Anolis sagrei: one gene and its partner. The protein of the gene in region 1 interacts with the protein of each later gene in a pairwise test. Links are inferred from orthologs where the notes say so. Each region holds a gene or a part of one and is shown on either strand. Other genes may lie near its edges.

Region 1 (16,613 bases):
AACACAAAAAAAAGAGACTTAAAAAGCTGAAAAAAATACATTACAATGCATATGCAAACCACATATATACACATATACACACACATATATACACAGACTGGGCCACAGCAATGCGTGGCAGGGAATGGTTAGTTTAAAATATAAGCAATGTAGTAAGTGAACAGAGAAGCTTACCATTAATTCTAAAAGATAGAATTCACATTCTAGTATCTGTAGAGATATGAAATGTAAGTTAGTCATTCATTGAAAAACAGGAAAGGAATAAGCCATATCCCAAACATTTCCTTACTGCATACTTACATGATTCATCCTATAAGGAAATTCTTTTGGAAAGGCATACGAAAACCTAGTTTTCACTGCAATAAAGAAAATTCAGGATATGTTTTTTTAAAAGAAAGTAATAAAAACATATTTATTTCTTCTTGAATTTCATAATCCCTTTCACAATAAATGATTCACACTTTAGGCTTCAACAAACTAGCAGGAAACAATATCTTTTGAAGAATATGACAATTTCTGAGATCTGATGGCAACCGCAATGAACAGTCAGAAAATATTAGTGAGTGAAACAGCACTATAAGGGCTTAAATAATGAAAAGTTTTATATGATATTAATTTTTTGCTTTCAATGGCCTGAAATTTATACTGAAATATTTATTATTTTTCCACATATTTACTAACATCAAACCATTCACTGGTTCATAGGTATTAATTTTCCATTATCATGTATGCAAAAAAATCTAAACAAGATGAATTTACAAAATATCAGCAATATTAAGAGTAAACTATTTAGTCTTATCACACTTGGGGGATGGAATTTCTTTTTTAAAGGGTACGTCTTTTCTATTCTTTTATAACAGCTGTTCTACATCTGTATCATACAGAGAGTATAATTTACACTTACATACAGAAGTAGCAGCAGATATCAATCTTGTATTTGAAACTACACCAAACTCCTAGTAAAAGAAAATAAAATTAAATCATGCTGGAAGATATACCACATTAGATGTACATCATGGCTTATCATTATGAGTTTTAAAAAGGCTTCCTTAAAAAGAACATGGACAAAAGGGGGGATGGCTAGTAACTGTGGGACAGCTAAATTCACATGGCTGAAGCTGGATATGGAGAACTACTGTAGAAAGTGCCCCTCCAAAACTTTGCTTGCTTCACTAAAGTTTCAACAATCCACTAAGCCTGCACAACCTGCGGCCTTCCAGCTGTTCAGGCTTCCCACTCCCAGAAGCCCTAGCCAGCTTGTACAATGGCCAAGAATTCTGGGAGTTGGAGGCCAAAACAGCTGGAGGGGTGCAGGTTGTGCAGGCCTGCTATAGGCTATTAACAACCCATCTGAAAAGGAGGCTATTTTCGTTACATGCAGCAGAACCTGTCAACTGCAATGCAACTGACAGGATGGCCCTTGTCATGCCACGCTTCTATGTCCATAAGGCAAAAACATAAACTAAACCTGCAGGACAAGTACCAGAAGGTCTGAGTGCTCAAGGAACAGAGGTTACCAACTGGTCTGCTGACAGCTAGCCCTTACTATCCACAAATTCAAAATACTTAGTCTCCAAAAGAAACCTTGATTTTGCAATTTTATACAATGAACATCATCTCATTATATTGTATATAATGAGATTTGAACATCTATAGATTTTGGTATCAATTGGGGGGGGGGGTCGCAATTGATACCAAGTACCCATTGCATATGATTAAACAGCCATAGTTATGAAGCTAAGAGGAGAGATAGTACAGAAAAATATTAAGAAAAGAAATGTAGAAAAATAAAAAGTGGTGGAAAAACTAATGAAAGTACACCTACTGGAATAGTGATATAAACTTTGTTTAAATACAATGTCTAACAGAACTGAAGATAGACAAGACAGCAAATGGCCAATATGAGAGACTAACATTACAACATTATAATGAACCCTTGTTAATTTTTAGTACTGTATTTTTTTCTCTTTTTCACAAATGGAAAAAGATACCAAATGCAGTATTTAAAAGAGGGGGGAGTTAAAATACCTCTCCATTTAACCAAATTTGCACATAAAAATCAGAAATACTCCACTTACCTCTACTTTAGATGCCAAAAACACACATGTGGGAGCCATCAGAACAGGATCTATACTTTTTAGGGAGTATCTGGGGGCAAAAAAGAAATATAGCTCTAAATAGAGAGGAAGAGCTACTCTTAACTATTCCATTTTTTCAGAAGAGCTGAATCCTATCAATCTATAGGATTTACGTATATAATTAGAATAAAATCAATTTTTAACTTTTAAATGATATAACAATGTGCAAGAAAAGAAAGCACTGTTCTGCTAACAGAGTGCATGATCCTACCTGGCATAGAACCTCTTGAAATAGACAGTAGCAGTGGCAATAACTTGTTGTCTTAATTTCAGATGTTCACCTAAAGCCTGGATGACTTACAAACAAAAAGAAAACTGAGTTAAAGTTTCAAAATGGGAGCTTGCATTTTGTCAGAATCACTGATAGTATATCCCACAAGGCTAAGAAACTATTATTTTTCCAACATTTCTGAGGTCTTACAAGCTGACTGACAAAAATGTATTTTTCACTTGAACTTCCTTATATATTTACAGATCCCTTTGTTAATGCACATGCTCATTTGCCTTCATGGATTATCTGCCCATTGATTCAATGGCTCTTTAAAAGCAACCATAGGGCTGATTTGGCCCTTCATTTTAAGAAAGAGATGACTGGAAGACACATAATAACAAATAACAAAAATAGAAACCACAATGGTCCAATTTAAACATATCGTTTCAGGATTTTTTCAAAAAGTACAAAGCGTAGTTTTAGATCCTGATTAGTATACTAACATTAAACCACAGTTGTCTGTTTCAGACATAACTGGGAACAGCTTGCTGTGATTGGTACACAATGGAAAGAGGAACCTCTGGTTGCCAAGCATGTTCTTGGCTATGGCTTTCCTGTGCTTAAAAATGCACAATCAAACTAGGCCAATGATTTCCCCATGGCTACCCGGTGGACTGAAGGTGAACCCTGGTCCAAGTGCCATATACTATTCACGAAGTCAAACTAGTTCATATTCTGGCAGATGGCACTTATTTCCAGCTTTTAAATGTAGTTCTATCAAATTAGTCACATCAAATTAGTCACATCTCCATGAAGGACAGAAGAGGCATATGGTACATGCGTAGGTAGCATCTCAACATGGTGAAGGCAACAGTTTGCTCTATCATGTACAACTTACTACATTTCTCAACTCACTTGCCCTACAATTCTAATAGGAGAATATTACCAGGTTATTGTGTGCATTTTGAATCATCATTATGGGCTGAAGTGTTTGAATGCCTTGCAAATGGCTGTTGTCTGTCTAATGAATCAAGATCCCAGGATCAACATAGTTGCTGGGTTTCAGAGGCAGCAGGTGTTTGGAGCATGGCATATTTAGTCTAGGGAAAGGGAGTGGGGTGTTGAGAGACCAGAAGAGGTAGTCAGCTGCTCCATCACTAGCTCTGCCTGCCAGTTGGCCAAGAAGCAACCCTGGTGTCAGCTGCACAGGTAGCTCTTGTTTGGCCTTCCAGGCAAAGGAGATCTGCCAAGAATGTCAGGAGCATCCATCAGGGATACCAAGCAGAGGTGGAAGGCGAAAATGATGGAATGAAACATAAGGTGATTTACTTGGTATTCTTCCTGGATCTCCTCATCCATACATAATCCAAACATGGCAATGCTGTTATCATTATCATGCCATTTTCAAAGAGCCCTGCAAGTTCTATTTCAGTCCACACATTTATGCACACATTTTAAAAGGAACACAGCCAAACAAAACGTACATGCAGAAGGGCTGTCTAAAGAAACAACCATTACAACAGATCACCCTGATGTCATGTTGCATTACTATCACTATATCCTGAATCCTACTTTGTGTAATTATTTGCTCAGCAGATCATGGATTAAGCTATCAGCTGAACATTCTCCATTAAGGATAAGTTTCTATCCAAGCTTATACCGAACCAGGCATGTAGCCGGGGTTCAGCTGCCCCCCCCCCCCCCCGGAAATTCTCATGGTGGTTCGCAAAAATTGAGGTCCTAGCCCTCAAAAATGTGCTTCTATTTGAAGGCTATCACATTTGACCACTACTCCTGAGTATATGGCTATACTTTCGCATCAAATTTCTGATAACAGCCACAGTGAAATATCCAGACACACAATCAAAGCCATTTTCTGGCCTAGATGCTTCAGTTTATCATCAGTGCTCTCTACGCAGAGTAGAGTTCATGAAGGAGCCAAGTTTAGTTTCAAGAAAAAAAAAAGTGTATTTTGAATTTTACACAAGTTTCCACATCCGCACTGGGACCCGAAAACAACAAACTATTAAAGTGTGATTAGTCTATTTCAACTTTCCTGAAGGCCCAGTGTTTTCAGGATCCACATTACATATAGACCAAATAGTGTGTCATTGCCTTTATAAAGTCTTGGAAGTCAATATGTAACATGGCCCCAAGATGCTACAGTACTATTTTAAAGCAGAAAGACATTTTCTAATGAAGTATTTCTAATTACACTGTTACATATCCATGAAACAGTGTGGAGTGTAATTTCTGCTCCCTCTACCTTTCATAATATTCTCTTGCAATCTACTTTTAAAAACTGGGGGACCTCCAGTACAAATGGAGGGGCTAAAGGGGGTGATGATAGTTTCATCACCTAAGTAGGAAAATAAAATAATCTATGTTGAACAGTGCTAGATTTAAGCTGAATGCTTAAGCTTCTGCTGCAAGCATGTCCAAGTTTCTTTTCGCTAGGTACATAACAGATAAATCTTCTTGCTTTATAATTTTGCATGTTTTGTGAAGTTAGCACAAAGCAATACAACTGCAACACACATCAGTGGGGCAAACTAGAACTGAAATCATGTTACCATTCGTAAAGAATATCTGTAGCTTCCAATATTCTTCTTCTGTCAAAAATTTTAAGTCCTTTTGGCGTTCCTTCAACAGATCTTGTTTATCCAAAATCCATTGCAAGCTGCAAAGGAAGAAAAAATAGAGAGTACATCTTTTAAACCAATTTTGAGTATTGCATGTATTAAACATGCTTGTCAACTTTCATTCTACAGCCTGATGCCAAAATAACAAACTTCTCTGCATATTCAATTAATCATATTGAAAACTACTGTTAATTTGTGTTGTCGAAGGCTTTCATGGCCAGAATTGCTAGGCCATTTCCAAGCTGTGTGGCCAAGTTTTCCAGGCTGTATGGGCATTCTCTCCTGACATTTTCTGAGGATGCCTGCCATATATGTGGGTTAAATGTCTGGAGAGAATGCTTATGGAACATGGCCATTCAGCCTGGAAAACTCACAGCAACCTACTGTAATTTGTTTCCTTTTGGGTTTGTTTTCTGAACTATTAGCTATAAGAAAAAGTAACTAACTGGGGGGAAAGCTGGCCTGTGATAAACTATGATTTTTCTGCTTTGGTAGCTATTTCAAAGGCAAATTTGAAATTGGATCCAGACTATTTAAAGGTCCATTATTTTTAACTGTCCTGTCACCATCATAGATACTATCAGTGAAAACATGAGAAAGAGTCTGCTGCTCTTGGGCTCCTTCCCACAGATCTGCTTGGCCTCGTTCTCTAGCTTCTTTGTACCTACAGGCACAGCCCTTTTATTTAGTCCCGCGTTCCATATTTAAAGAAAAGCTTTCCAAACATTTCATGTATGTTACATTCATTTTAGGCATGTATCATTTTGCCTCACAGTAATTCAGTTTCACTAGCAAACTGGAGGTTAAACCAACTCCTTATAAAAAAATATATAGATTTATACAAATTGTAATAACAAAATGTTTGGAAGCACAACATATCTCATGAAAACTTTGGATTTATATATATTTAAAAAAACGCTTTATTGCTTATTTCATGTAGACTTTTGTGTGGCGCGCCTACACACTACTTGTTACTTTTGTGTGGCGCGCCTACACACTGCAGCCACACACTAACACAATAGTTCTCAACCTGTGGGTCCCCGGGTGTTTTGGCCCACAACTCCCAGAAATCCCAGCCAGTTTGCCAACTGTTAGGATTTCTGGGAATTGAAGGCCCAAACATCTGGAGACCCACAGGTTGAACACCACCGATAGAGGACTTGGGGCGGATTCCAGCATACAGAAAAACAAAGACAAACATTCAATTCCTTGAAAGGGAATTGCATCAAATATATCATATAATATTATCCCGCTGAGCAATGTTTGGATTTTAGTGCTGTAATGTAAATATGGATATTTTGTGTAGCTTTTCCCTGAACATTGTTTTATATATGTGAAAAATATGTATGCCAATATAATATTATTTTTAAAAATTGGTAAGGATAAGGGATACTAAAACCTGCACTATACCTTCCGCCCCAAAAGGCAGCACCTCACAGCTAACATAAAACTCAATTTTAAACTATGGATTTAATTTGATATTAATATTGCTGTTCTACAAAAGGGTCTATCTAGATTATTGATTTTAATGCTGCTTGTCTCTACTCCATCTGACATGGCTCAATGCCATGGAATCCTGGGAGCTGTAATCTTACAAGGTCTTTAGCCTTCTCTGTCCTTTGGGGGTTTTTTTGTGTATATCAGGAGCGACTTGAGAAACTGCAAGTCACTTCTGGTGTGAGAGAATTGGCCGTCTGCAAGGACATTGCCCAGGGATGCCCGGATTTGTTACCATCCTACGGAAGGCTTTTCTAATGTTCCCTCATAAGAAGCTGGAGCGGACAGACAGGAGCTCAACCCGCTCCCTGGATTCTGCTGGCACAATGGTTTAACCCACTACGCCATTGAGGGGAGAGGAGGGCGTTTTTTGTCCTTTGGTGAGGCACCAGCACTTTCCTGTAGGAGACCTTGCAAAACTATAATTCCCTGAATATCCTGAATATGTGGCAGTTAAGAATGGGATCAAACTGCATTAATTCTACAGCACAGATGATGTCCATGTTGTGCCAATTCTAGAGAGAAATAAAAATATCATAATCATCTCTATTCTCTATAGCATGCATAGGCCAACTTGGGCCCTCCCTCCAAGTGTTTTGGACTTCAACTCCCACCATTCCTAACAGCTTAAGCGGCTGAGGGGGAAAAGGAAGGGGCCTGAGGCTGTTAGGAATGGTGGGAGTTGAAGTCCAAAACACTTGGAGGGAGGGCCCAAGTTGGCCCATGCCTGCTCTATAGCAATTAAACACTCTCCTTGCCAAGTTTGCCAACACCCCTCAGTCCTCCTGTGGCCCGGGATTCCAGGAGCCCCCTTCAAAACAGCAGGGCCAGGAAGTGTGTGGCGTGGCATCCTGAAAAGCCTTCCCCTCCCCGCTCCCCCACAGCCAGGGCCCCCCACCAGAGAGGGGCGAGGGGTTCACTCACTAATGCGAGCTCTGCCAGAAGTTCCCTGCCATGAAGAGGGCGCGGGGCTCGCTGCCGGGTCTCTTCCCTGCCGACCCACCCCGGGCTCTCTCTTCCAGGAACAGGAAGGACTCGGCAGCGCCCACCCGGCCACCAAGCTCATCAGGGCCGCGGCAGCAGCAGACTCGGCCCCGGGGCTGCGCGCGCCTACTCTGTGTCCCGGCCTGCTTCCGCTGCCGCGCGCATCCGTTCCGGGGAAAAAAGGTTCCGCCCCTCTCAATAGGGACAAGCCGTATTCCCGCTTCTCCTGGACTTATTAGTTGAGAGCAAAGGCATTCGACACAGTGAATCGCACCGCCCTCTGGACCATCCTCCAAAAAATCGGGTGCCCTAATAAATTTGTGAACATCCTGAGCTCCTCCATGATGACAACAGACTTGGACAGCAGTGGGTCCCAAAGTGACCCATTTAAGGTAAAATCAGGCGTCAACATTTTTATTATTGCCCCAACTGTATTCTCCATCTTCATCACTATGATACTTCACCTTGTTGATGGGAAGCTTCCCACCAGAATGGAAATCATCTATCGGACAGATGGCAAGCTGTTTAACCTCAGCAGACTGAAAGCCAAAACCAAAGTTACAACATCTGTTATAGAACAACAATATGCTGATGACAATGTCGTCTGTGCACATTCAGAAGAAGATCTACAAGCCACTCTAAACACCTTCGCAGAAGCATACGAGAAGCTCAGCCTGTCATTGAACATTGAGAAAACCAAAATGCTGTTCCAGCAGTCACCACCCAACCCCTCTCCAATGCCAGAGATACAGCTTAATGGTGTAACATTAGAAAATATTGACCATTTCCACTACTTTGGCAGCCACCTCTCCACTAAAGTCAGCATCAACACCGAAATACAACACCGCCTGAGCTCTGCGAGTGCAGCATGTTTCTGAATGAAGCAGAGAGTGTTTGAGGACTGGAACATCCGTAGGGATACCAAGGTGCTTGTTTATAAAGCTATTGTCCTCCCAACCCTGCTCTATGCCTGTGAAATGTGGACTGTCTACAGATGTCACATGCAACTCCTGGAACGATTCCATCAGCGCTGCCTCCGGAAAATCCTGCAAATCTCTTGAGAAGAGAAACAGACAAACGTCAGTGTGCTGGAAGAAGCAAAGACCACCAGCATTGAAGCAATGGTCCTCCGCCATCAACTCCGCTGGACCGGCCACATTGTCCGGATGCCTGACCACCGTCTCCCAAAGCAGTTACTCTACTCCAAACTCAAGAACAGAAAACGGAATGTTGGTGGACAGGAAAAGAGATTTAACGATGGGCTCAAAGCCAACCTTAGAAACTCTGGCATAGACACTGAGAACTGGGAAGCCCTGGCCCTTGAGTGCTCCAGCTGGAGGTCAGCTGTGACCAGCAGTGCTGCAGAATTTGAAGAGGCATGAATGGAGGGTGAAAGAGAGAAGCGTGCCAAGAGGAAGGCGCATCAAGCCAACCCCGACAGAGATCGCCTTCCACCTGGAAACCACTGCCCTCAATGCGGAAGAAGATGCAGATCAAGAATAGGGCTCCACAGCCACCTACGGATCCACAAGAATACTGACCCTGGAAGACTATCCTACTCATCCAACGAGGGATTGCCTAAGTGCAGATTAGTTGAGGGTGAACCCACACTGTAAAATGAATGCCTTTTATTGCCACGGCTTAATGCTAGGGAGTCCTGGCAGTTGTAGTTTTATAAGGTCTCTCGCCTACTCTGCCAAACAGGGCTGGTGCCTCACTAAACTACAGCTCCCAGGATCCCATAGTATCTTTATTTATCGTGTCTGAAGCAAATTGAAAATAAAGTTATAATGTTAAAGTTATAATGTATTTAAAATGTATTTATGTATCTATATAAATAAAAATGTTATGTTCGTTTGTGGGATTAACATAACTCAAAAACTACTGGACAAATTGACACCAGATTTGGACACAATACACCTATCAGGCCAATTAGTGACCTTGGAATGATCTCCTTTGAATGATCTCCTTGGATCTCTGCACAGCTTCATCCAAAGGCATGTTGAGTTTCTGATTCTTCACTCATAAAACCACTGAAAAACACAGCAGAAGAGACTTAAAAAGCCAAAAAACAAAAACCATTACAACGCATGCGCAAAACCACACATATACACAAATACATATACACATATATACACACACAAAACACATATACACAGACGGCCACAGCAACGCTTGGCAGGGGACGGCTAGTTTATAATGTTTTTAAAAGCTTCAAACAAAGTTAATACCTTGGCTCTATGATACTGAAGGGGACAAGGGACCTGATTTCATTTTATTAATAAATAATAGCAATAATAATAAAATAATAACTTTACTTTTGTATCCCGCCACCATCTCGGGGCGGCTTACATGGGGACCAAACCCAGACAAGCAGAAATTTAAAATATAACACAGTAAAATTCAACTACAAAACATCATAAAAACATAACCATCCACAATCAAAACATCCAATAACCTAACCTAGAGGCCATATATTGAGCTGAGGGGCGAGGCAGGAGCTTGTGCAAAACAGTTGCAAGGGCAGGGCTGATAGGAAAGTGCAGGTATGAAGTATGAAGAATAGTTCGATTAAATAAATAGTCTTAGCCTTAGAAATCAATTGAAGATTGTCTTAGTGTTAGAAAAATTTAGCCATGTGAAACACACACAAAGGGAAAAGGCTCACATAAACAGAACATTGAAAACATGCACCAAATGGAACCCTAAGGAGAGAAGCAGGGCAATAAACAGGCCTACATTTCGTTTGACCAGAAGCTTTCCACTTGGAGTGCCTCTGGTGTCACTATAAGAAGCCCCTCCATTGTGCATGTGGCAGGACTCAGACTGCATTGTAGTAAGTGGTCCCTTACTACACACTTGCCCTTCTCCACATTTGCATATCGTGGACTCCAATTTGTAGCCCCATTTCTTAAGGTTAGCTCTGTACCTCTTGGTGCCAGAGTGCAGTCTGTTCAGTGCTTTCCAAGTCACCCAGTCTTCTGTGTGCCCAGGAAGGGAGTTTCTCATTCGGTATCAGCCACTGATTGATGTTTCGGGTTTTAGCCTGCCACTTTTGGACTCTAGCTTGCTGAAGTGTTCCTGCGAGTATCTCTGTAGATCTTAAGAAGCTATTTCTTGATTTAAGGCATTTGCTTGCTGACTGATATCCGAACAAAGGATGGGCTGGATATGTCGACGCCTTGGTCCTTTCTTTACTGGCTGCTACTTACCAATGGATAACAGGTGGTGCAATACCGGCTAAACAGTATAATTTCTGCAGTGGTGTGGGGCATAGACATCCTGAAATATTCTACATTGGGCATGCACACTCAGCAGCAGAATAGCAAAGTGCAAGGGCAGATGTCTTCACTGTATCTGGTTGTGATCCCCAGATTGTGGCAGTCAGCTTTTGTATGATATTATTTCTAGCACCCACTTTTTGCTTGATATTCAAGCAGTCCTTCTTATAGGTCTGAGCACGGTCCAAGGTAACTCCCAGGTATTTGGGTGTGCTGCAAGGCTCCAGTGGGATTCCTTCCCAGGTAATCCTCAGAATTTGAGATGCTAGTCTGTTCTTAAGGTGAAAAACACATGTCTGCATTTTAGATGGATTAGGGATCAGTTGTTTTTCCCTGCAATAGGCAGTAAGAGCCCATAAAGCTTCCGAGAGCTGCTGTTCAACCATTTCAAAGCTCCCATAGCATTAAGGCATGGCAAACTGTGGTGCCAAACTGAATTAATTCAACAGTGTAGATATACCCTGAGAGAAAGAAGCTGATGCAATCATTACTGTTGTTATTATTATTGTTACCTATTATCTCCACATAGTGGGGGACAGCAGCATATCAAAATACAACATGAACTATCAGTTTAAAATACATAATGTAAGTTTTTGCAGGCCCCTTCTACACTGATCATTTCATACAGTTTCAAACTGTTTTTTAAAAGTTATTTTACTGATGATTACGTAGAAAATCCTGGAACCAATTTGAGGCATGGATGATGATTATACAGAAATCACAGAGTACTGATGCACACATTAAGGGCTTTCTTCCACATACTTTTGTGGGAGTTTGTTGTCTCGCTGCCACAGTTTGAAGAGGCTAACTTTGAGCTGCATTAAATGGTTAGTGCAAATGGAGCCATAGACTACAAGGGTGCATCCCTTTAACTGCTAGGGCTCAATGCTATGCAATCATGGGAGTTGTAGTTTTGTAAGTCATCATCCCTCTTTGCCAGAGAAAGTTAAATATCTTGTAAAACAATAGCTCCCATGATTCCATAGCATTGAGCCATGGCAGTTAAAGGGGTGTCAAACCACATATTTTGCATTCCTATGGCTATTCACACAATCTGCTTACACACTTCCTTTGCATTGTCCCTTGACCTTCACTGCATGCATTTGGGGAAGCAGAATGAAAGTATATGCCACCAACATTTTTCTCAGTCTGTCTAAAAGTGTCTAGCATTGCTCTGTAAAGGAATTAACAAAATCAATCATGTATAAGCCTTCAGTAGTTACAAAATAAATCAGAATGTGTCTAATGAGGATATCTGATGCAATGACACAAAACACACTAATTCAGGTAATGTTCTTGTAAGACATTTATCTTCTGTTACAGATGTATTGAATTTCCTCATGGCACGTCTGTAGCACCTAGGGAAATTGTGAATGCATCAGGCTCATTGTTGCTCTGAAGTGCCAGTGCTGCGAGAAGAGACGACACAATTCCTCAGGGGTTTGTTTCATGTTTTTCATGATCTTGCATCATCACCATCACCAGAAGCTACATAACCATATACAGTAGTGGTTCTCAACTTATGGGTCCCCAAATGTTTTGGTCTACAGTGATTCAGTTCAACATGGGGCTCTTTCACATGACATATTACAGTGCTATGATTCCACTATAACTGCCATGCCAGTATCCTAAGCAATCCCAGAATATGTTGTTTAATAAGAAACTAGAGTTATCTGGGTAGGAATTTTAATTACACTTCCAAAACAACAAATTCCAGGATTCCATTAAATGGACCATGGCAGTTAAAGTGGATTCATAGTGCTTTAACTCTGCACCTGACTAGATTTCGACATTTCTTTTCAAATTCACTATTAGTTTCTTGTCAAGAATGTGTAGAAGCCAGAAGAAGAAGAAATCCTGTTGTTCCATTTTTACTGTTGCAGATGCCTGAGAGGCCTGTCACAGTACATTAAGGCATTCTGTCAGGAGGGTGGGATATGCATAATGGGAATATGTATACATCTGTCCCAATTCATACAGCCTAATGCTGGAGCAAATGTGCCTGCCAAGGACTGGGTTGTACAGCAACCAATCGTTGCTTCTTTTTTAATTGTAGAAATGTCTTGGAAATGAAAGGTAAGATTTTAAATCCTTGTCAATAGTGAGATTTGCAAGGATGATATCCATTCGGGCTATCATGAACATTGTATTCTATTGTATGTATTTAGCACATTTGTATGTTAATCTGTTTTAGAAACATGAAAATCAAATAAAAAAGGTGTTGTTTTTCCTCAATTCAACTGTCACCCGATATGGCGACATCAATAATCCAAACTTTTTTCTTTTCCACAATCATGATGTCTGGTGTATTGTGTTTCAAAACTTTGTCAGTCTGGATTCAAAAGTCTCACAGTATTTTTGCATATTTATTTTCCACTTCCTTTGCAGGTTTATGATCCCACCAATTCTTTACTGCTGGGAGGTGGTACCTGTGACATTATTATTATTATTATTATTATTATTATGTTGTTGTTGTTGTTGTTGTTAATATAATTATACTGTATTATGTTGCAGAATTATATTTTGTTGTTGTTATGAATATATAATACACATCACCATCATTAGCAGTGTGGCTCCTGCGGGTCTGGATCGAGAGAGAAAAGCAGGGTGCAAAGGAATAAAATGATGATAATAATAACAATAATTCTTCAGTGTAGATCAGTGTTTCTCAACCTGGGGGTCGGGACCCCTCGGGGGGTCATGAGAAGGTAGCAGGGGGGTCACCAAAGACCATCAGAAAACAGTATTCTCCGTTGGTCATGGAGGTTTTTGTGTGGGAAATGAGGTGCAATTCTATCGTTGGTGGGGTTCAGAATGCTCTTTAAATGTAGGTGAACTATAACTCCCAGCAACTACAACTCCCAAATGTCAAGGTCTATTTCCCCCAAACTCCACCAGTATTCACATTTGGGCATATTGAGTATCTGTGCCAAGTTTGGTCCAGATCCATAATTGAATGAGTTCACAGTGCTCTCTGGATGTAGGTGAACTACAACTTCCAAACTCTAGATCAATGCCCACCAAACCCTTCCAGTATTTTCTGTTGGTCATGGGAGTTCTGTGTGCCAAGTTTGGTTCAATTCCATCGTTGGTGGAGATTCAGAATGCTCTTAGATTGTAGGTGAACTATAAATCCCAGTAACTACAACTCCCAAATGACAAAATCACCCCCCCCCCCCCAACCCCACCGTATTCAGATTTGAGCTTATCGGATATTTGTGCTCAATTTGGTCCAGTGAATGAAAATACATCCTGCTTATCAGATATTTACATTACGATTCTTAACAGTAGCAAAACTACAGTTATGAAATAGCAATGAAAATAATGGTATGGTTGGAGGTCACCACAACATGAGGAACTGTATTAAGGGGTCGTGGCATTAGGAAGGTTGAGAAACACTGGTGTAGATGGAATGATACAGCCCAGTCCTCTCTCTGCTCTCTTCTCTCATCCCAAGGCTGCTGTTCCTCAAAGCAGCCGGCAGGAGGCGCAGCGTGGAGGAGAGCCAGCTTCCAGCCCCGTTCGCGGAGGAGGAGGAAGGGGAAGACTGACGGCGGGTGCTCGCTCAGCCCACCTCCTTCGCGGCCCGCGGCGCCGGACGAGCGAGCAACTCCGCACTAGCAGCCGCAAATTCGCAAGGGCTTAGTGGGAAAGCAGGCGGGCAGCAGGACCGACTCAGCCACCCGGCGGCTTCGCGACACCGACCAGTCAAGACGAGACGGGGCGGGGCTTAGGCAGGCGAAAGGGGCGGCTCTCCAGGCGAAAGAGGCTCGGCCCGCCCCCCTCCCTTCGCTTTCAAGCCTCCTCGTTTAAAGGGGCAGGGACCGCATTTCTCCTCCTCGCCTATGAAAGGAAAAAGCAAGCGTGTAGGAATGCAATCACAGGCTGGATCTACGCTTCTGTATATCCCAGCATCAGTTTGTCTAGCAGTGTAGACTCCTAATCCAATTCAAAGCAGATAATCTGGGATCAGATCCTGGGATATAGGGCAGTGTAGATCCACCCACAGTAGGCTTCCCAAACTGTATTTCCGCCAGAATAATTGAGTATAACGGAGGCCCCTTCTACACTGCCATATCATCCAGATTATCAAATCCGATAATCCGCATTATCTGCTCTGAACTGGATTATAGGTGTCTACACTGCCATGAAATCCAGTTCAAAGAAGATAATCTGGATTGTATATGGCAGTATGGAAGGGGAAATATAAAAGGCCAGTAGACTGACAGTCATTGTGATGTACAACATGTGAACTATATAATGGGAGAAAAGTGGGATAGAAATAAAATTAATCCAGATAATCCGAATTATATATGGCAGTGTAGAAAGGGAAATATACAACTGGTCAGAGGCTTCCAAAATAATTATGCCAAAATAAAATAATAAAATAAATAGTATTAACATTTTGAAATAGCAGAATAAACACTACTAATATTTTCTTGGGCAACACTTCCCTTTCTATAACCTCAGCCATTCTCTTTCCTCTAACCATTAATTCTTATAAAATCCACCATAAAAGCAATACATTATTCCTCAAATATAAACAGAGGAGAGAGAAAGAATAGACACTGATTGCTCTTGCTTCGTCTTTTATACAACTTGAGGATTTCTTATCTGGAATTTTAAGATCAGAAATGTTTCAGATTTCAGGATATAATGCATATAATGAGAGATGAGTCCTAAATCTTAACACAAAATTCATTAATGTGTCACATATACTTTGCACACATATACTTTACACACATAACCTGACGGTAATATTTTTACAATCTTTTAAAATAATGTGCTTGAAACAAAGTTTGTGTACCTCAAGTTTGAAATAGCAACCTTCTACAAGCCTTCTATACTAGTTATTTGTTATGTATATCATTCAGATTGCTTACTGTATATTGTATGTGTGTACTGTATTGTTATGCAGTTTTCCTTAACTCTATGTTGTGGGAGGGACTGCAGACCATGTGACCAGATCTGGGACTATTCAGACTGAGACTCCATTTTCAGAAGTCAGTATTGCATTGTATAGTCAGCGTTCATTATGCATTAGACATAAGACAGAGAAGAGACTGCAACAGAATGCTTTGGAGAACTTACTGTTTACACTTTCAACTGATAAGCAATGTACCTGTAAGCTGAATATATGAAGTTTGTAAGTAAACAAACTATGTTATTTTTAATGAAAACTATTTATTTTTCTCTCTTGAGAGCATGATTTAAATCAAATATATTTTATGGGAGAGTAGATGTTTTTGGGCAACTGAAATAACACTTCTGAAAATCTGCTATATATTTTGTGCATTGGCATAATCTTTGTTCCTAACAGTTTATTTATTTATTTATTTATTTATTTATTTACTGTGTTTATAATTATTTATTTATTGCCTTTCTCACCCCTGGGTAATATTCTCAAGGCAGTTTACAACATACTAATGGCAAAAATTCGATGCCAACATACAGTACACAAAGAAATCATAATAACTAATTACTACATATAACTATGAACTTAAAATCATTAAAACCATTAAACATAAGACATACATCAAATTTAAACATTCAGACAAAGCATAAAAACATTCTAGTATAAACATTAAAATCCCATGATCTAGTTCAAAGAAATATCTAGGTATATCAGTCTAACAGCCGAGAAACCTAATTGCCTTGCATGAATAGTAGTGGATATTTACGATGGAGTTTTTAGCTCTTCTCATGAAGATTATACTTTACAAAAAGGTAATGATTATTCCAAATGGTGCAAATGACAATTAATCTCCAAAAGGGTCAAGCTTCCAAAAGCATTTGGAGATTCCTGGTTTTCCAAAAGGTTATGATCTCAAGAAGTCATAATTTCCAAAATATACACATA
Region 2 (16,105 bases), on another chromosome or scaffold:
CTATGGAACTCCCTTCCTGGTGAGATCAGGTCGGCCCCCTCCCTCCTGTCCTTTAGAAAGATGGTCAAAACTTGCCTGTGGGACCAAGCTTTCGGGACAGGGCAATAAGGCAGCAATAGGAAAGATTACCAGGCCAATTAGCTTTGATGCGAATGACTAGGACGGTTTTAAATGGTGTATTTTAATATTGAGATAAATGTTTTTTATGTTTATGTATGTGTATGTGAATCTGTGTCCCGGCATTGAATGTTTGCCGTGTATATGCTGTGCTCCACCCTGAGTCCCCTTCGGGGTGGGAAGGGCAGAATATAAATGTTATAAATAAATACATAAATAAATAGTCGAGCTTGTGAAGGAGCCGGGACTGAGAGCAGGGCCTCCCCAGGTGTTCTTAATCTCCAGGATGGTTCATTCAGACAGGTAAGTGGGCCAGAACCGTTTCGGGCTCTATAGGCTAAAGGCAGCACTTTGACTTGTGCTCAGTAGCAGACTAGCAGCCAGTGAAGCAGGCGAAACAAGGGAGTTGTATGCTCCCTGTACCCCGCTCCAGTGAATAATCTGGCTGCCGCCCATTGGACCAATTGCTGAACCGTTTTCACAGGCAATCCCACACAGAGCGGGTTGCAGTAGTCTATACGGCAGAGGTTCCCAACAGGGACCACTCTCCAACATTAACAACAAAGCAACTTTGAGGGACTAAACATGGTCTTAGAAATGGCTGCTTTCTCATTACAACTGATTTGTGGCAATGGCAGGTAATACTACCACTACTAATACTACTAATACTACTAATATTAATTATTATTATTATTTATAACATTTCTAATCCGCCCTTCTCAACCCCCGAGGGGGGACTCAGAGCGGCTAACACTGGCAGCAATTCAATGCCGCAAAGAACAATATCTTGCACATGTGGCCCGCTCATTGTAATGTTATTTTATTTTACTGTGTATGGTTTTGCTTTATCGTTTTCGTACTCATACGTTGTATGTATTTTACTGTGTTGTTATTGTGGTTTGATTTTACTTTATTGTAATATGCTGTTGGACTTGGCCTCATGTAAGCCTCCCTGAGTCCCCATTGGGGAGATGGTGGTGGGGTATTAAATAAAGATGATGATGATGATGATTATTATTATTAAGATCCCCAGATGTTAAGATTGTCTGGGGAGGCCCTGCTCTCGATCCTGCCTGCATCACAAGTGCGTTTGGCGGGGACGAGAGACAGGGCCTTCTCAGTGGTGGCTCCTCGGCTGTGTAATGCCCTTCCTACAGACATCAGATCGCCCCCCTCCCTGTCAGCATTTCAGAGGAAAGTGAAGACCTGGTTGTTCGAGCAGGCATTTGAAAAGGCAGTGTAATGAACATAGGAATATGGAACAATTGGATGTTGAGATTGGATCTTGATTTTAACTATGAGATGCTAATGAGATGTTTTATTGATTTATATTGATTGCTTATTATGCCACTGTTTTACTTGTTTTTAACTGTTTTATGATTTTTTGAGCAGTGAATTTTACTATTGTTAACTGCTTTGAGTCGCCCGAGGGCTGAGAAAAGCGGTATATAAATATCGTTAAATAAATAAATAAATAAATAAATAACATCAATATAAAACCATAAATACATAACAGATTAAAAACAATAACATTAGTTACACAATCATACAGCCGTTTCCATTATTCTAACAATCATATGGTCCAGTTCAGTGTCCAAAGTGCCGTTATGCCTGCTAGCCAAAAGCCTGGTTCCAAGACCACCATTTCAGTTTTTTCCTAAAGGAAAAGAGGGAGGATGCTCATCTAATCTCACTGGAGAGCGGGGGGTTACCACCGAGAAGGCCGTCCCGCAACCCTACCAGATGCGTTTGCGAGGCTGGTGGGACCGAGAGCAGGGCCTCCCCAGTGGATCTTGAACTACGAGGTGGAACGTAGAGGGAGATACGTTCGGAGAAGTAAGCTGGGTTGGAGCCGTATAGGGCTTTGTAGGCCAAGACCAGCTCGGAATTGGATTGGCAGCCAGTGGAGTTGACATAACAGGGAGGTGGTGTGCTCCCTGTATGGCGCTCCATAACAACAACAATAATAACAACAACAACAACTTTGGGGGACTCTCCTTCTCTCCCTCGCTTCTTCGCTCATTCCGCCTGGTGAATCTTCTCTGCCCTGGCCTGGGAAGCTTCCGAAGGCCGGGAAAGCCCTGGCGAGGGCAACACACTGGCATCTCCTTCCTTCTTTCCTTCCTTCTCTCCCTCTCCTTCTCTCTCTCTCTCTCCTCAATCACAAGCCAGTGACAATTTTCCTGGCATGTCTTGCAGATCTTATTTTAGGTCTAGTGGGCTGCGGCCCACGGGTTGGGAACCACAGATCTAAGATGATTTCAGCCATTTTTCTCCCACCTGGCTGCAAGCAAGTTGTGTGAAGCAGGGAGGGAAAACAGAAAAAAGGAAGACTTACCAAGGTCATTGGAGACCTTCTCAAACTGGCTTAGAGCAGCTCCAGCATTTGTTGAAAGGAAGGTCTCATCATCGGGCGTCAGCTGAAAGGAAAGGAAAATGAGTTGGCTGTATTGTAAGTGGTTAAAGATGAACGAGAAAAACATAATTCATGGATAGATAGGCTTCAAATGTTTTCCATAGATTCCACATGAAACCCAATTAGCCCACCGTCACAAGTGTGGGGCCTTGAGATATGTAGAATTTTCCCACTTTTGCACACCTGACCCTCACAAAAGTGGATGGCAACCTGCACATGCCATTCAGTTTTTAGTCCCATGAAAGACAGAATTCCAAAATGCGTACCTTCTCCCCAAGCTTGCGGAGTGCGGTGAGGATTTCCACTTTCTGCAGGGTGTAAAGGTCCCGCCCTAGCTTTCCAACAATCAAATCTCTGTCCATCTATACAAGAAAGGGGGAGGGGAGGGAAGAGAGAACATTTACATATTTGACGAATGATTATTTTATTGCAACCTTTGTCTATGCCACTGCTATCAAAGACATATTTGGTGCAATGCAAGAGAGAGCCTTCTCTGTGGCTACTGAGCTTAGGATTACTCCTTGCATTGCACCAAATATGTAGGAAAGGCATAAGACGCTCCAAATAAGTCCAGGAGGTGATAGCGCAGGCTTCTCAGCTTGGAAATGGAGAACAGCACCTCCCCAGAGCCAGAGATGAGCACCACCTCCAAAGCCGGAAATGAAAGGAGAAGCCTTTGCCTTTGTTTATGTTTGCATGTCTTATTGTATTGTAACAAGGCATTGAATGTTTGCCAGCATCTGTTTATACTGTAATCTGCTCTCTATCCCCATTGGAAGATGGGCGGAATATAGATAAAGTATTATTATAAGTGTTATTAACAAGATGTGCTTTTTAGCTGGAAATGAAAGGAGAAGCCTTTGCTTTTGTTTATATTTGTGTGTCTCATTGTATTGCAACGAGGCATTGAATGTTTGCCAGCATCTGTTTACACTTTAATCTGCTCTGTGTCCCCATGGGAACATGGGCAAAACATAAATAAAGAATTATTATTATTAGTGTTATTAACAAGATGTGCTTTTTAAGCCGGAAATGAAAGGAGAAGCCTTTGCCTTTGTTTATGTCTCATTGTATTGCAACGAGGCACTGGATGTTTGCCAGCATCTGTTTACACTGTAATCTACTCTGTGTCCCCATGGGGAGAAGGGCGGAATATAAATAAAGTATTATTATTAGTGTTATTAACAAGATGTGCTTTTTAAGCCGGAAATGAAAAGAGAAGCCTTTGCCTTTGTTTATGTTTGTGTGTCTCACTGTATTGCAATGAGGCATTTAATGTTTGCCAGCATCTGTTTACACTCTAATCTGCTCTGTGTCCCCATGGGGAGAAGGGCAGAATATAAATAAAGTATTATTATTAGTAACAAGATGTGCTTTTTAATAGTGCCCTATTCTGCTTCTCGTGATGAGAGGCAACACTGTAACATGCCTTACATCTTTGCAAATCTCAACAAGCAATAAGTGTACATTCATTTTTTTAGGTGCAAGGGTTAGATCCTTACCTCGCCCAATCTAGTTCTCAACTGCCCAGGCTGTTTTTTGGCAAACATGCGGATGACTTCTGGGGTTTTGAAAGCCTGGCTGATGGCCGCTTGTATGGCCTGCAAGAGACATAATATAACACAAACTGTGGGCTTGTCTGCTTAGTTGGCCTCAAGCAATATCTCTAATACCAAAGCCAATAAGACATGTCTACCCTGGACGAAAAGGATTAGCAAATGTGCACTGGACTGGTTCACAAAGAAAGTACTCACCAACTGCATCCCACTAAGTTCATCCACCAGGGTCATGTTTCCGGACATAATCTTCTTCAAGGAATCATTGAACTCACTCAGCTGTTCGAGGGTTTCCTTCTTGGTTTCTTCATATTCATCTGTGTCTAGTTCCTCTCTGATTGAGAACCAAGAGTTAAGATTGCTGAGAGATCTTTAAATACTGATAAATCAAACTTATTGTTCTAAAGCTCCAGACTATGGGGTTGCTGTGAGTTTACTGGGCTGTCTGGCCATGTTCCAGAAGCATTCTCTCCTGACATTTCACCCACATCTATGGCAGGCATCCTTAGAGGTTGTGAGGTCTGACGGAAACTAGACAAGGAAAGTCTATATATCTGTGGAAAGTCCAGGGTGGGAGAAAGAACTCTTGTCTGTTGGAGGCAAGTGTGAATGTTGCAATTAATCCCCTTAATTAGCATTGCAAAGCCTTGCTTCAAGGCCTGGCTGCTTCCTGCCTGCGGGAATCCTTTGTTGGGAGGTGTTAGCTGGTTTCTGAAACATGGCCATACAGCCCGGAAAACTCACAGCAATCCAGTGATTCCAGCCATGAAAGCCTTTGACTATTCTTACAGACTATTCTTACAGAAAGCCTCCAGACTATTCTTACAGCCTCATCACGCTAGCATTTTAAAGCGGGCACACCCACTTACTTGGTGCCTTCTGCCTGCAGAACTCTGGGAAATGTAGTTTGGGGAAGAGCCTGCTAGAGATGTCCTCGCCCTCCCAAACTACATTTCCCAGAGTTCTGCAGGAGGCAGAAAACACGAAGAAAGCAGGGTGCCCACTTTAAAAGGCTAGTCTGATGACTATAATCATTACACATTTCAACAATAGCTCTTTATTGTTCCACAAATAGATAAACCCCATTTTCCTAGTTTCCAACGGACCTCACAACCTCTGAGGATGCCTGCCATAGATGCAGGCAAAATGTCAGGAGAGAATGCTTCTGGAAAATGGCCAGACAGCCCGGAAAACTCATGGCAACCAAATAACTCTTTACTTTCCCATTACTCAAAAGAAACTGGTTATGTTATGTTTCCAACCACACCCCAAACAAATGAGGCTTTGGGGCCAGATGTACAAAAAGATTTCTCCCTGTTCACATGGTATTACCAAACCTTTTCGAGCATAGTCATTTCCCAGAAGCTGTTTATTACCGGCACTCCTCCAGATCTTGCAGTTGCTGCATCAATCGGTCCAGCTGCTCTTCCAAGTTCTGTTTCAACTTGCTGGTTTCAATTGTCCCTCTTGAAGCCATTTTCAACTCTTCGCATTACCAACCTCTGCGAGAGAAACAAAACATACTGTGCTAATTAGTAACCAGCTCAACTTATAACTTATACATCGTTTGGGTATAAAGGTCAATATTTATTCTCTTCCTTATATGAATATGCCCAGCCTCTTCGACAGTCTAGAGAACAACAATATACTTGGGATGGTTACTGCAAAATAACTTATTCAAGAAGAAATTAGATAACGTTGACCATTTATGCTCCCTTGGCAGCCACCTCTCCACAAAAGACAACATTGACACTTTGGTAGAAACAGGTTAGCCCAGGGTTGCCTATCATTATTTATTTATTTATTTATTTATTTATTTACTTGCGACATTTATATTCTGCCCTTCTTACCCCAAATTACAAATTCTCACCTGCCTATTACAGGGAAAACCAACTGATCCCTAATCCATCTAAAACACAGACATGTGCCTTTCACCTTAAGAACAGAGAAGCATCCCGAGCTCTGAGGATTACCTGGGAAGGAATCCCACTGGAGCATTGCAGCACACCCAAATATCTGGGAGTCACTCTGGACCGTGCTCTGACCTACAAGAAGCACTGCCTGAACATCAAGCAAAAAGTGGGCACTAGAAACAATATCATATGAAAGCTGACTGGCACAACCTGGGGATCACAACCAGACATAGTGAAGACATCTGCCCTTGTGCTATGCTACTCTGCTGCTGAGTATGCATGCCCAGTGTGGAACACATCTCACCACACTAAAACAGTGGATGTGGCTCTTAATGAGACATTATCACGGGGTCTCTGTGCCCTACCACTGGAGAAATTACACTGTCTAGCCGGTATTGCACCACCTGACATCTGCCGGGAAGTAGCAGCCAATAGTGAAAGGACCAAGGCAGAGACATCTCCAGCTCATCCCTTGTTTGGCTATCAGCCAGCACGTCAATGACTTAAATCAAGAAATAGTTTTCTAAGATCTACAGAGACACTCGCTGGAACACCTCCGCAAGCGAGAGTCCAAAAGTGGCAGGCCCAAACCCAGAACCTCATTCAATGACTGATACCAAATGAGAGACTCCCCCCTGGGCACACAGAAGACTGGGCGACTTGGAAGGCGCTGAACAGACTGTGCTCTGGCACCACGAGATGCAGAGCCAATCTTAAAAGTGGAATCCGTGACATGCGAGTGTGGAGAAGAGCAAACCACTGACCACCTGCTGCAATGCAACCTGAGCCCTGCCACATGCACAATGGAGGACCTTCTTGTGGCAACACCAGAGGCACTCCAAGTGGCCAGATACTGGTCAAAGGACATTTAATCCACTACTAAGTTTGCAAAATTTGTGGGGTTTTTTTAATCTGTTTGTTTGTTTTGTTCTGAAATGTAATACAATGTTCTGCTTGCTGATGACACGATAAATAAATAAACAAACCCCAAAAGTGACTTATTATTATTATTATTATTATTAGTGATATTTATGACATTTACTTGTAAGCCGCATATAAATGTCGTAAATAAATAAATCAACAACAACATATGGGGGGCATCAAATTGCTGTGGGTTGTAAGGCGCGCCGAGTCCTCCTTCAAGGGTAGAGAAGGGCGGGGTACAAATATATGTAATAAATAAATAAATATATTAGACACGGAGAAGTGGGAAGCCCTGGCCCTTGAGCGCTCTAACTGGAGGTCAGCTGTGACCAGCAGTGCTGCGGAATTCGAAGAGGCACGAATGGAGGGCGATAGGGAGAGGAAGGTGCGTCAAGCCAACAATGGAAACTGTGGAAGCACATGTGGGTGAAGAATAGGGCTCCACAGCCACCTAGGGACCCACCCCGAAGACACTCCACTTGGAGGGCCATCATATCCAGGGAAGGAGAAGCACCCACCCTTACCTCCAACCCTTCTTCTTCCTCCTCCTCCTCTTCTTCCTCTTCCTGAGCCTCCACCTCTTCCAATCACATCCTCCCTCCAAGAGACAGGGTCTGCTGTCACGGAGGGGCGAGTCCCTCTCACTTCCGGTTCCCAGGTCGTGGGGGAAGCCCTTCGGCGACGGACACAGGCCCGCTTCCGGGTTCTCCAGCCAATCAGGCGCCGCGCTTGTGGTACTGTGGCGATAGTCTTCCCCCCAGCCGCTTGAGCCGCGGTGTTCAGTTCCGGGCCTGAAGTGCTTTCGATTTTGAATCTTTCAGGTAAGGAAAAGACTTTCTTGGCTGGGGAAAAGGAGCTGTTTTGGGTAATGAACACATCTAATGATTTAGTAATATTATCATTATTGAACAGATCTTATTATTTATCAATATTATTGGGTTGCTATAAGTTTGGCTGCCTGGCCATGTTCCTGAAGCATTCTCTCCTGACGTTTCTCCCACATCTTACCATCTATGGTAAGCATCTTCAGAGGTTGTGAGGTCTCTTAGAAACTAGTAAAATTGGGTTTATATGTGTCCAAGGTGGGAGAAAGAACTCTGGTCTGCTTGAAGCCCTTGGCCAACTTGATTAGCATTCAGTAGCCTTGCAGCTTCAAAGCCTGGCTGCTTCCTGCCCAGAGGAATCCTATGTTTGCAGTCCTTGCCTTCAATTCGCATTGAATAGCCTTCAGGCTGCAAAGCCTGGCAGCAAAGCCAAGGATTCTTCCATGCAGGAAGCAGCCAGGCTTTGAAGCTGCAAAGCTAGAAAATGAGGCAAGTGGACTTTCTCTGTATATCTGTGAAATGATGTCCAGGGTGGGAGAAAGAACTCTGGTCTGCTTGAGGCAAGTGTGAATAGCCTTGCAGCTTCAAAGCTTGGCTGCTTCCTGCCTGGGGGAATCCTTTGTTTGCAGTCCTTGGCTTTGGTTAGCATTAAATAGCCTTGCAGCTTCAAGGCTTGGCTGCTTCCTGCCTGGGGGAATCTTTTGTTTGCAGCCCTTGGCATTGATTAGCATTGAATAGCCTTGCAGCTTCAAAGCTTGGCTGCTTCCTGCCTGGGGGAATCCTTTGTTTGCAGTCCTTGGCATTGATTAGCATTGAATAGCCTTGCAGCTTCAAAGCTTGGCTGCTTCCTGCCTGGGGGAATCCTTTGTTTGCAGTCCTTGGCTTTGATGAGCATTGAATAGCCTTGAGGCTGCAAAGCTTGGCTTCTTCTTGCCTGGGGGAATATTTTGTTTGCAGTCCTTGGCTTTGATTAGCATTGAATAGCCTTGCAGCTTCAAAGCTTGGCTGCTTCCTGCCTGGGGGAATCCTTTGTTTGCAGTCCTTGGCTTTGATTAGCATTAAATAGCCTTGCAGCTTCAAAGCTTGGCTGCTTCCTGCCTGGGGGAATCCTTTGTTTGCAGTCCTTGGCTTTGATGAGCATTGAATAGCCTTGCAGCTTCAAAGCTTGGCTGCTTCCTGCCTGGGGGAATCCTTTGTTTGCAGTCCTTGGCTTTGATGAGCATTGAATAGCCTTGCAGCTTCAAAGCTTGGCTGCTTCCTGCCTGGGGGAATCTTTGTTTGCAGTCCTTGGCTTTGATTAGCATTGAATAGCCTTGATGCTTCAAAGCCTCGCTGCAAAACCAAGGACTGCAAACAAAGGATTCCCCCAGGCAGGAAGCAGCCAAGCTTAGAAGCTGCAAAGCTAGGAAATGAGGCAAGTGGACTGTCTATTTATCTGTGGAATGATGTCCATGGTGGGAGAAAGAACCCTTGTCTGCTTGAGTTAAGTGTGAATGTTGCAGTTGGACACCTTGTTTAGCATTTAATGGCCTTGTAGCTTCAAAGCATGGCTGCTCCCTGCCTAGAGGAATCCTTTGTTGGGAGGTGTTAGCTGGACCTGATTATTTCCTATCTGGAATCCCCCTATTTTTGAGTGTTCCTCTTTATTTACCGTCCTGATTTTAGAGTTTTTAATGGCCTAGCAGTTTTCAAGGTGTGACTTCTAACTGCCTGGAGGAATCCTTTGTTTTGAAGTGATTCGCTGTCCCTGATTGTTTCTTGTTTGGAGTTCCCCAGTTTTTGACTGTTGTTCTTTATTTACTGTCCAGATTTCAGAATTCTTTTTTAATACCGGGAGCCAGATTTTGTTCATTTCCATGGTTTCCTACTTTCTCTTGAATTTGTCCACCTGCTTGTGGATTGCAATGGACTTCTCTGTGTCGGCTGACATGATAGTTGTGAGAGTGGTCCAACATTTCTGTGTTCTCAAATAATATGCTGTGTTCAGATTGGTTCATCAGTGTAAACAGATACCGGAAAACATGTTACAATACAATGAGACACACAAACAAAGGCAAAGACTTCTCCTTTCCATTCCGGCTTTACAGGCGGTGCTCATCTCTGACTCTGGGGAAGGTGCTGTTCTCAGTTTCCAAGCCAAGGAGCCTGCGTTGTCACCTCCTGCTACTTTATCACACAAGAGAATGAATCCACTTTAAATCTGATTGCTGCCTCCTGCAGAATTATGGCGTTTGTAGTTTTGAGAGGAGGCTTTAACAGCCTCAGTAAAGTACAAACCCCAGAATTCTGCAGGAGGCAGAAACCGGATTTAAAGTGGATTCATTCTCTAGTGCGATGAGGTCACTGGTCAGTGTAAACGGTGTAAACAGATACGAGCAAAACATGTTACAATACAATGAGACACACAAATACAAACAAAGGCAAAGGCTTCTCTTTTCATTTCCCGCTTTGCAGGCGGTGGTCATCTCTGTCTCTGGGGGAGGTGCCGTTCTCAGTTTCCAAGCCAAGGAGCCTGCATTGTCACCTCCTGCTACTTAATTACACAAGATGATGGTCACTGGTGATAAGGTTGCTGGTCAGTGTAAACAGATACCGGCAAAAATGTTACAATACACACAAACACAGGCAAAGGCTTCTCCTTTCATTTCCGGCTTTGGAGGCGGTGCTTATCTCTGGCTTTGGGGGAGAAGCTGTTCTCCATTTCCTCCTGGTTGTGTCACCGGCATGACAGCTTGGAGTGTCTTATGCCTTTCCTGCCTATTTATCTACTCACATTTGCATGTTGACGAACTGCAAGGTTGGCAGGAGCTAACAATGGGAGCTCGAATCATGCGTATTCGAACTGCCAGCCTTCAGGTCAGCAGTTCAGCAGCACAAGGGTTTAGCCCATTGCACCACCACAACCCTGTGAGGTATTTGGTCTTGCTCATGGAGATGTGGCTCACTGGGGGGAATGGTTGTAATCCAGAATCAAAGGTTTTGAAATTCCTTCCTGTTCAGGGGCCAGATTCAATTTCATCTCTTTTGGGAGCTGCATTACAGACTCAAATGGGGGGAAAGGAAGGGAAAAACACCCATTGTAGCCTAAAGCCTTGCTGCGAGCCTTTTACACGTGTGGGGTGGGAGAACAAAGAAAAACGGGGCGTTAGCATGAAGGGACTCTCCAAAAGGCCTGAGGTTCTCGATCTAAGCATCTGCCTGTCTTTCCAAATGTTTGCAATCAGGAAAAGGTGCTGTCCCAAAATCCCAGCTTCCGACCTGCTCCCGATTCTGAAGCATCTTACGGTTCCATGCCAGTTCCCATGGCAACTGTCTTCCTGTGGCTTCTGCTGCCACACTTCAAGCTCCATGCGCAGGGCTTGTGACTGCTAATTGTTCTATACAGCAGCAGGAACAAAAAAAGGAAAGCGTGTGGGATGTTTCACAATGTGGACAATGAGATCCAGCACACTTGAAAGCCGGTTTGAAGCCTGGGAACCGTATCCTCCCCTCCTGCTTCCCCACTTAGCTCTTTAAAAACTCCCCCAAACCTTCCCTTTTTCAACTCAGAACACCACCTAATGTGAGCGATGTATAAATAGTTAAAGACGCCTGTTCTGTCCTTGGTTCTGAATATCTTTCTCTCGTGGCCTCTGCAGAGATCAGTCAGTTTTCTCTGTGGGTGAAGAACGGATGGAAGCAAAGTGGGTTAAGCAGGGTGTCCATAGTTTTTGGGTATGGTGCCTAAGGAATCATTGAAAATTACTACTACTACTACTAATAATAATAATAATAATAATAATAATAACATACCAGAAAGCCCTCTGACTTTAAACACAACACAGCTGAATAAAATGCAAGCAGTTTATTGAAGATAATTAAAGGCAGTAGCAATAAAAAGCAATCCACAAAAATAGGTAAATCCAATTAGGTAGAAAAGAAAGACAGGAACAACAAATCTTCAGAGTTCATGACAACAAATACTGGAACTACCAAAACAAAACCCCAAACTTTGAGCATGAATCAAACAAGGCACTTCAGCATGGAAAGATCAAGGCATTTGATACAAGCATCTATCCAAGACAAGGCTTCTAGGAACCCGAGATGATATCTGGACTCAATTTCAATGTTGCTTCGTCTGACTACAGATTCTGTACTTGACACTTTTATCCTCTAATCTACTCTATATCCCAAGTGGCCATGAATGTATTTCTTTTCAGCCTTGACTCGATTATCAGTCTCTCCTGCAATCTGGCAGCGCGCCTGAGAGTCTGGTTTGTTTTCCTTTGCTGACTGAAAGCATGTCTCCTATCTACTGGCTCATTAAATTCTGCAGCTGGCCCAGTTGCCGAGCCTTTCTCGGGCTCAAAGCCTTGGGAATTCTTTGGTAGCAATTCAGGCCCAGGGAACAGACCGTCATTCCCAAACCCTTCAGGAACATTCCCATCAGAAAATTCACTTTGAAAAGGAATCCCATTGTCATTCTCTGCATCTAGAGCAACCTCATTATTAGACACATGAACCTCATTGTCACTCCCAACATCCAGAGTATCCTGATCATTAGACACAAACACAGGCTGACCTCCAGCAATACTTTATTTATTTTCCGCTCTATCTCCCTGAGGGGACTCAGGGCGGCTTACAGTACACATATACGGCAAACATTCAATGTCGTTATACAATTAACAAAGACAGACAGTACATAAACAAAGGCAAAGTCTTCCCATCTTTTTCCATCTCTGGCATCTGGAGACTGTGCTTGACTCCAGCCACAGGGGGTGCTGTCGCTTCATCTTCCATGCTGAGCAGCTTTGTTGTCAATAGACGTTCCCCTGATCGAATTGTCAGCATGTCTGGATGGGCACCTTTTATTACTTCCCCACCAAAGCGGTACCTATTTATCTACTCACGTTGCTGTTTTTGAACTGCTAGGTAAGCAGGAGCTAAGATTACGGCAGGAGCTCACCCCAACCCGAGCTTGAACTGCCATCCTTTTAATTGGCAATATTTTCTGCAGCTAGGGGTTTAACTCGCTGTAGTAAAGCCGCTGCCCGGTGCTTTATGGGTCACACATGCCACAGGCAATTGCATTCGGAGACCGGCTTGTAACATTTCCCTGTCCTGGTCTCCCTGTTCAGGATCAGGCCCGGAGAGACCACGTTGGCCAGCCAGAATGGCGCCAGGAGAGAGAAAAAGGCTGCAAGGAAGCAATGAACAAGGCACATATTTAGATCCCCTTTTTGTGGGTCACAGAACACCAGTCATGTCCACAGAGATCTCACCTGAAGTGTGGGAACATTTCCAGAATTATTTTTTAATCATATCAGAAGCAAATTGAGAGTTATACTGCATGCCGCTTCTGGTGTGAGAGAATTGGCTGTCTGCAAGGATGTTGCCCAGGGGACGCCCCGGAGGTGTTACCATCCTGTGAGAGGCTTCTCTCACTGCCCCACTTGGGAAGCTGGGGCTGACAGACGGGAACACGCTCCACTCCCTGGATTCAAGCCACCAACCTTTTGGTCAGCAGTCCTTCTGGTGTGAGAGCATTGGCCATCTGCAAGGACGTTGCCCAGGGGATGCCCGGATGTGTTACCATCCTGTGGGAGGCTTCTCTCATGTCCCCGCATGAGAAGCTGGGGCTGACAGACAGGAGCTCACTCCACTCTCCGGATTCAAACCGCTGAGCTTTTGGTCAGCAGTCCTTCTGGTGTGAGAGAATTGGCCATCTGAAAGGACGTTGGCCAGGGGACGCCCGGATGTGTTACCATCCTGTGGGAGGCTTCTCATGTCCCTGCATGGGAAGCTGGAGCTGATAGACAGGAATTCACTCCACTCTTCAGATTCAAACCGCCAACCTTTTGGTCAGCAGTCGTGGTGTGAAAGAATTGCCCATCTGCAAGGACGTTGGCCAGGGGACGCCCAGAGGTGTTACCATCTTGTGGGAGGCTTCTCTCCTGTCCTCACATGGGAAGCTGGGGCTGACAGACGGGAACTCACCCAGTCTCACGGATTTGAACCGGCCGACCTTCAGATCTTCAGATCAGAAGTTCAGCCGGCACAAGAGTTTGACCCATTGCGCCACCACAGCAATGCAGCAGATGTTTTTGGTAGCCAGACAAATAGGTGAAATATTTTACCTGTACCTATACTCTCACCAATAGAAACATGAAGAGACGTCATGATACGTACCAGCTGTCATCACGTTGCTTACGGACAGAATCACGGAGAAGTAAAATAGCTCAGGAGTGGTTTTGGCCTGTTGGAGGGGGGAAAAAGACATTTTCTTGCTTCTAAATGTGCTTTCCAACCATTTCAAAACTAGACAAGCATTGTCTGCTAACTCACAAATGAAGACTAAGAGGGAGCTTTCTGGTTTCAGGAAAGGGAAGAACTGCAACTCCCAAGTGCTGAACCTGACTCGGCAGATAGAAGATGGTTTTGAAAGACGGCAGGTTACAGGAGCTGTCATCATAGAGCTGTCATCAGCTTATGATATTGTAAATAATCACTTCCTCCTGAAAAAACGTATAATATCACAAAGGATTGCCACCTCACCCGCTTCATGGGAAATCTGCTACAAAACAGGAGCTTTTTGTTGAGTTACAGGGTCAGAGAAGCAGTTGGCAAAAACCAAGAACGGCATGACTCAGGGGAGTGTGCTTGCTCCATCAATGTTTAACGTCGACACAAATGACCAGCCACTACCAGAAGCCACAGAGTTTCATCTATGCTGACGATCGTGCCATCACTGCCCAAGCAGGGAGCTTTGAAATGGTTGAACAGAAGCTCTCCGAAGCTTTAGGTGCTCTTACTGTCTATTACAGGAAAAACCAGCTTGCACCATCAATGTTTAACATTTACACACATGACCAGTCACTGCCAGAAGGGACAGAGAGTTTCATCTATACTGATGATCATGCCATCACTGCCCAAGCAGGGAGCTCTGAAAGGATTGAACAGAATCTCCCTGAAGCATTAGGTCAGTGTTTCTCAACCTGGGGGTCAGGACCCGGGGGGGGGGTGATTGTGAGACGGTGTCTGAGGGGTCGTCAAATACCATCAGAAAACACAATATTTTCTTTTGGTTATGGGAGGTTATGTGTGGGAAGTTTGGCCCAATTCTATTTTTGGTGGAGTTCAGAATGCTCTTTGATTGTAAGTGAACTATAAATCCCAGCACCTACAACTCCCAAATGTCAAGGTCTATTTCCCCCAAATTCCACCTGTGTTCACATTCGGGCATATTGAGTATTCTTGCCAAATTTGGTCCAGATCTATCATTGTTTATGTCCACAGTGCTCTCTGGATGTAGGTGAACTGCGAATCCCAAACTCAAGGTCATGTCCATCAAACCCTTCCAGTATTTTCAGTTGGTCATGTGAGTTCTGTTTAACCGCATTGAGTCGCCTATATAGGCTGAAAAATGCGGCATACAAATAAAGCAAATAAATAAATAAATAAATATGCTAAGTTTGGTTCAATTCCATTTTTTGGTGGAATTCAGATTGCTCTTTGATTCTAAGTGAACTATAAATCCCAGCACCTACAACTCCAAATGTCAAGGCCTATTTATCCCAAACTCCACCAGTGTTCATATTTGGATATATTGAGTATCCTTGCCAAGTTTGGTCCAGACCCATCATTGTTTGAGTGCACAGTGCTCTCTGGATGTAGGTGAACTACAACTCCCAAACTCAAGGACAATGCCCACCAAACCCTTCCAGTATTTTCAGTTGGTTGGAGTTCTGTGTGCTAAGTTTGGTTCGATTCCATTTTTTTGGTGGAGTTCAGATTGCTCTTTGATTGTAGGTGAACTATAAATCCCTGCAACTACAACTCCCAAATGACAAAATCAATCCCCTTACCAACCCTAGAAATCACTTTGACTTGTATGTGTTGTGCGGACCTAATTTACTCCTAAACCTATTCCTTTGTCCTTTTGGCAGTCCATGATGGTCACAGATGCTACTCTCTTTGGAGATGAGTTGATGCTCTCCCTAACGGCTTCCTTCTCTGCTTGGGTTTCGCAACCATGTGTAGAAATAGGAAACACTACAAACACTTGGGACTAAATGTCATGACAGCTGTGATTACTCACGCATTGTGTTGCCAAGGCTGTCAGCGCGGTGGTACAAACGCCTTGGGCCAAAGACGCCACGCCAAAGGCAGAGAAAGCGGTCTTCAGTTCCCACGGAAGGGGTTCCAGCGTGACCAACAGCAGAGACAGCCCTGCAGCGTTGCAAGGAGAGAGACCACATACAGGTCAGAAACCATGGTTGTCGATACCCCTGGAGCATTCACAGACTGGGTTGCTGTGAGTTTTACGGGCTGTCTGGCCATGTTCCAGAAGCATTCTCTCCTGACGTTTCTCCCACA

The links.
Region 2: the proteins of CCNC (region 1) and NMNAT1 interact in binary tests that used the Homo sapiens proteins (3 or more experiments, as listed by UniProt). The two-hybrid records come from large-scale screens. The link is inferred for Anolis sagrei from reciprocal best matches to the Homo sapiens genes CCNC and NMNAT1.

What each region holds. Positions count from the first base shown.
Region 1 is NC_090021.1:99,270,817-99,287,429, reverse strand, and holds the start of CCNC (cyclin-C), read right to left. Parts: upstream 7,596-16,613; 5' UTR 7,445-7,595; coding exon 7,413-7,444; intron 5,030-7,412; coding exon 4,923-5,029; intron 2,435-4,922; coding exon 2,350-2,434; intron 2,149-2,349; coding exon 2,079-2,148; intron 957-2,078; coding exon 905-956; intron 357-904; coding exon 301-356; intron 211-300; coding exon 175-210; intron 1-174. UniProt on the Homo sapiens protein: Component of the Mediator complex, a coactivator involved in regulated gene transcription of nearly all RNA polymerase II-dependent genes.
Region 2 is NC_090033.1:5,919,522-5,935,626, forward strand, and holds the start of NMNAT1 (nicotinamide/nicotinic acid mononucleotide adenylyltransferase 1), read left to right. Parts: upstream 1-7,678; 5' UTR 7,679-7,747; intron 7,748-16,105. Other genes in the region: protein LZIC, read right to left, coding at 2,456-2,537, 2,800-2,895, 4,036-4,134, 4,288-4,423, 5,466-5,566.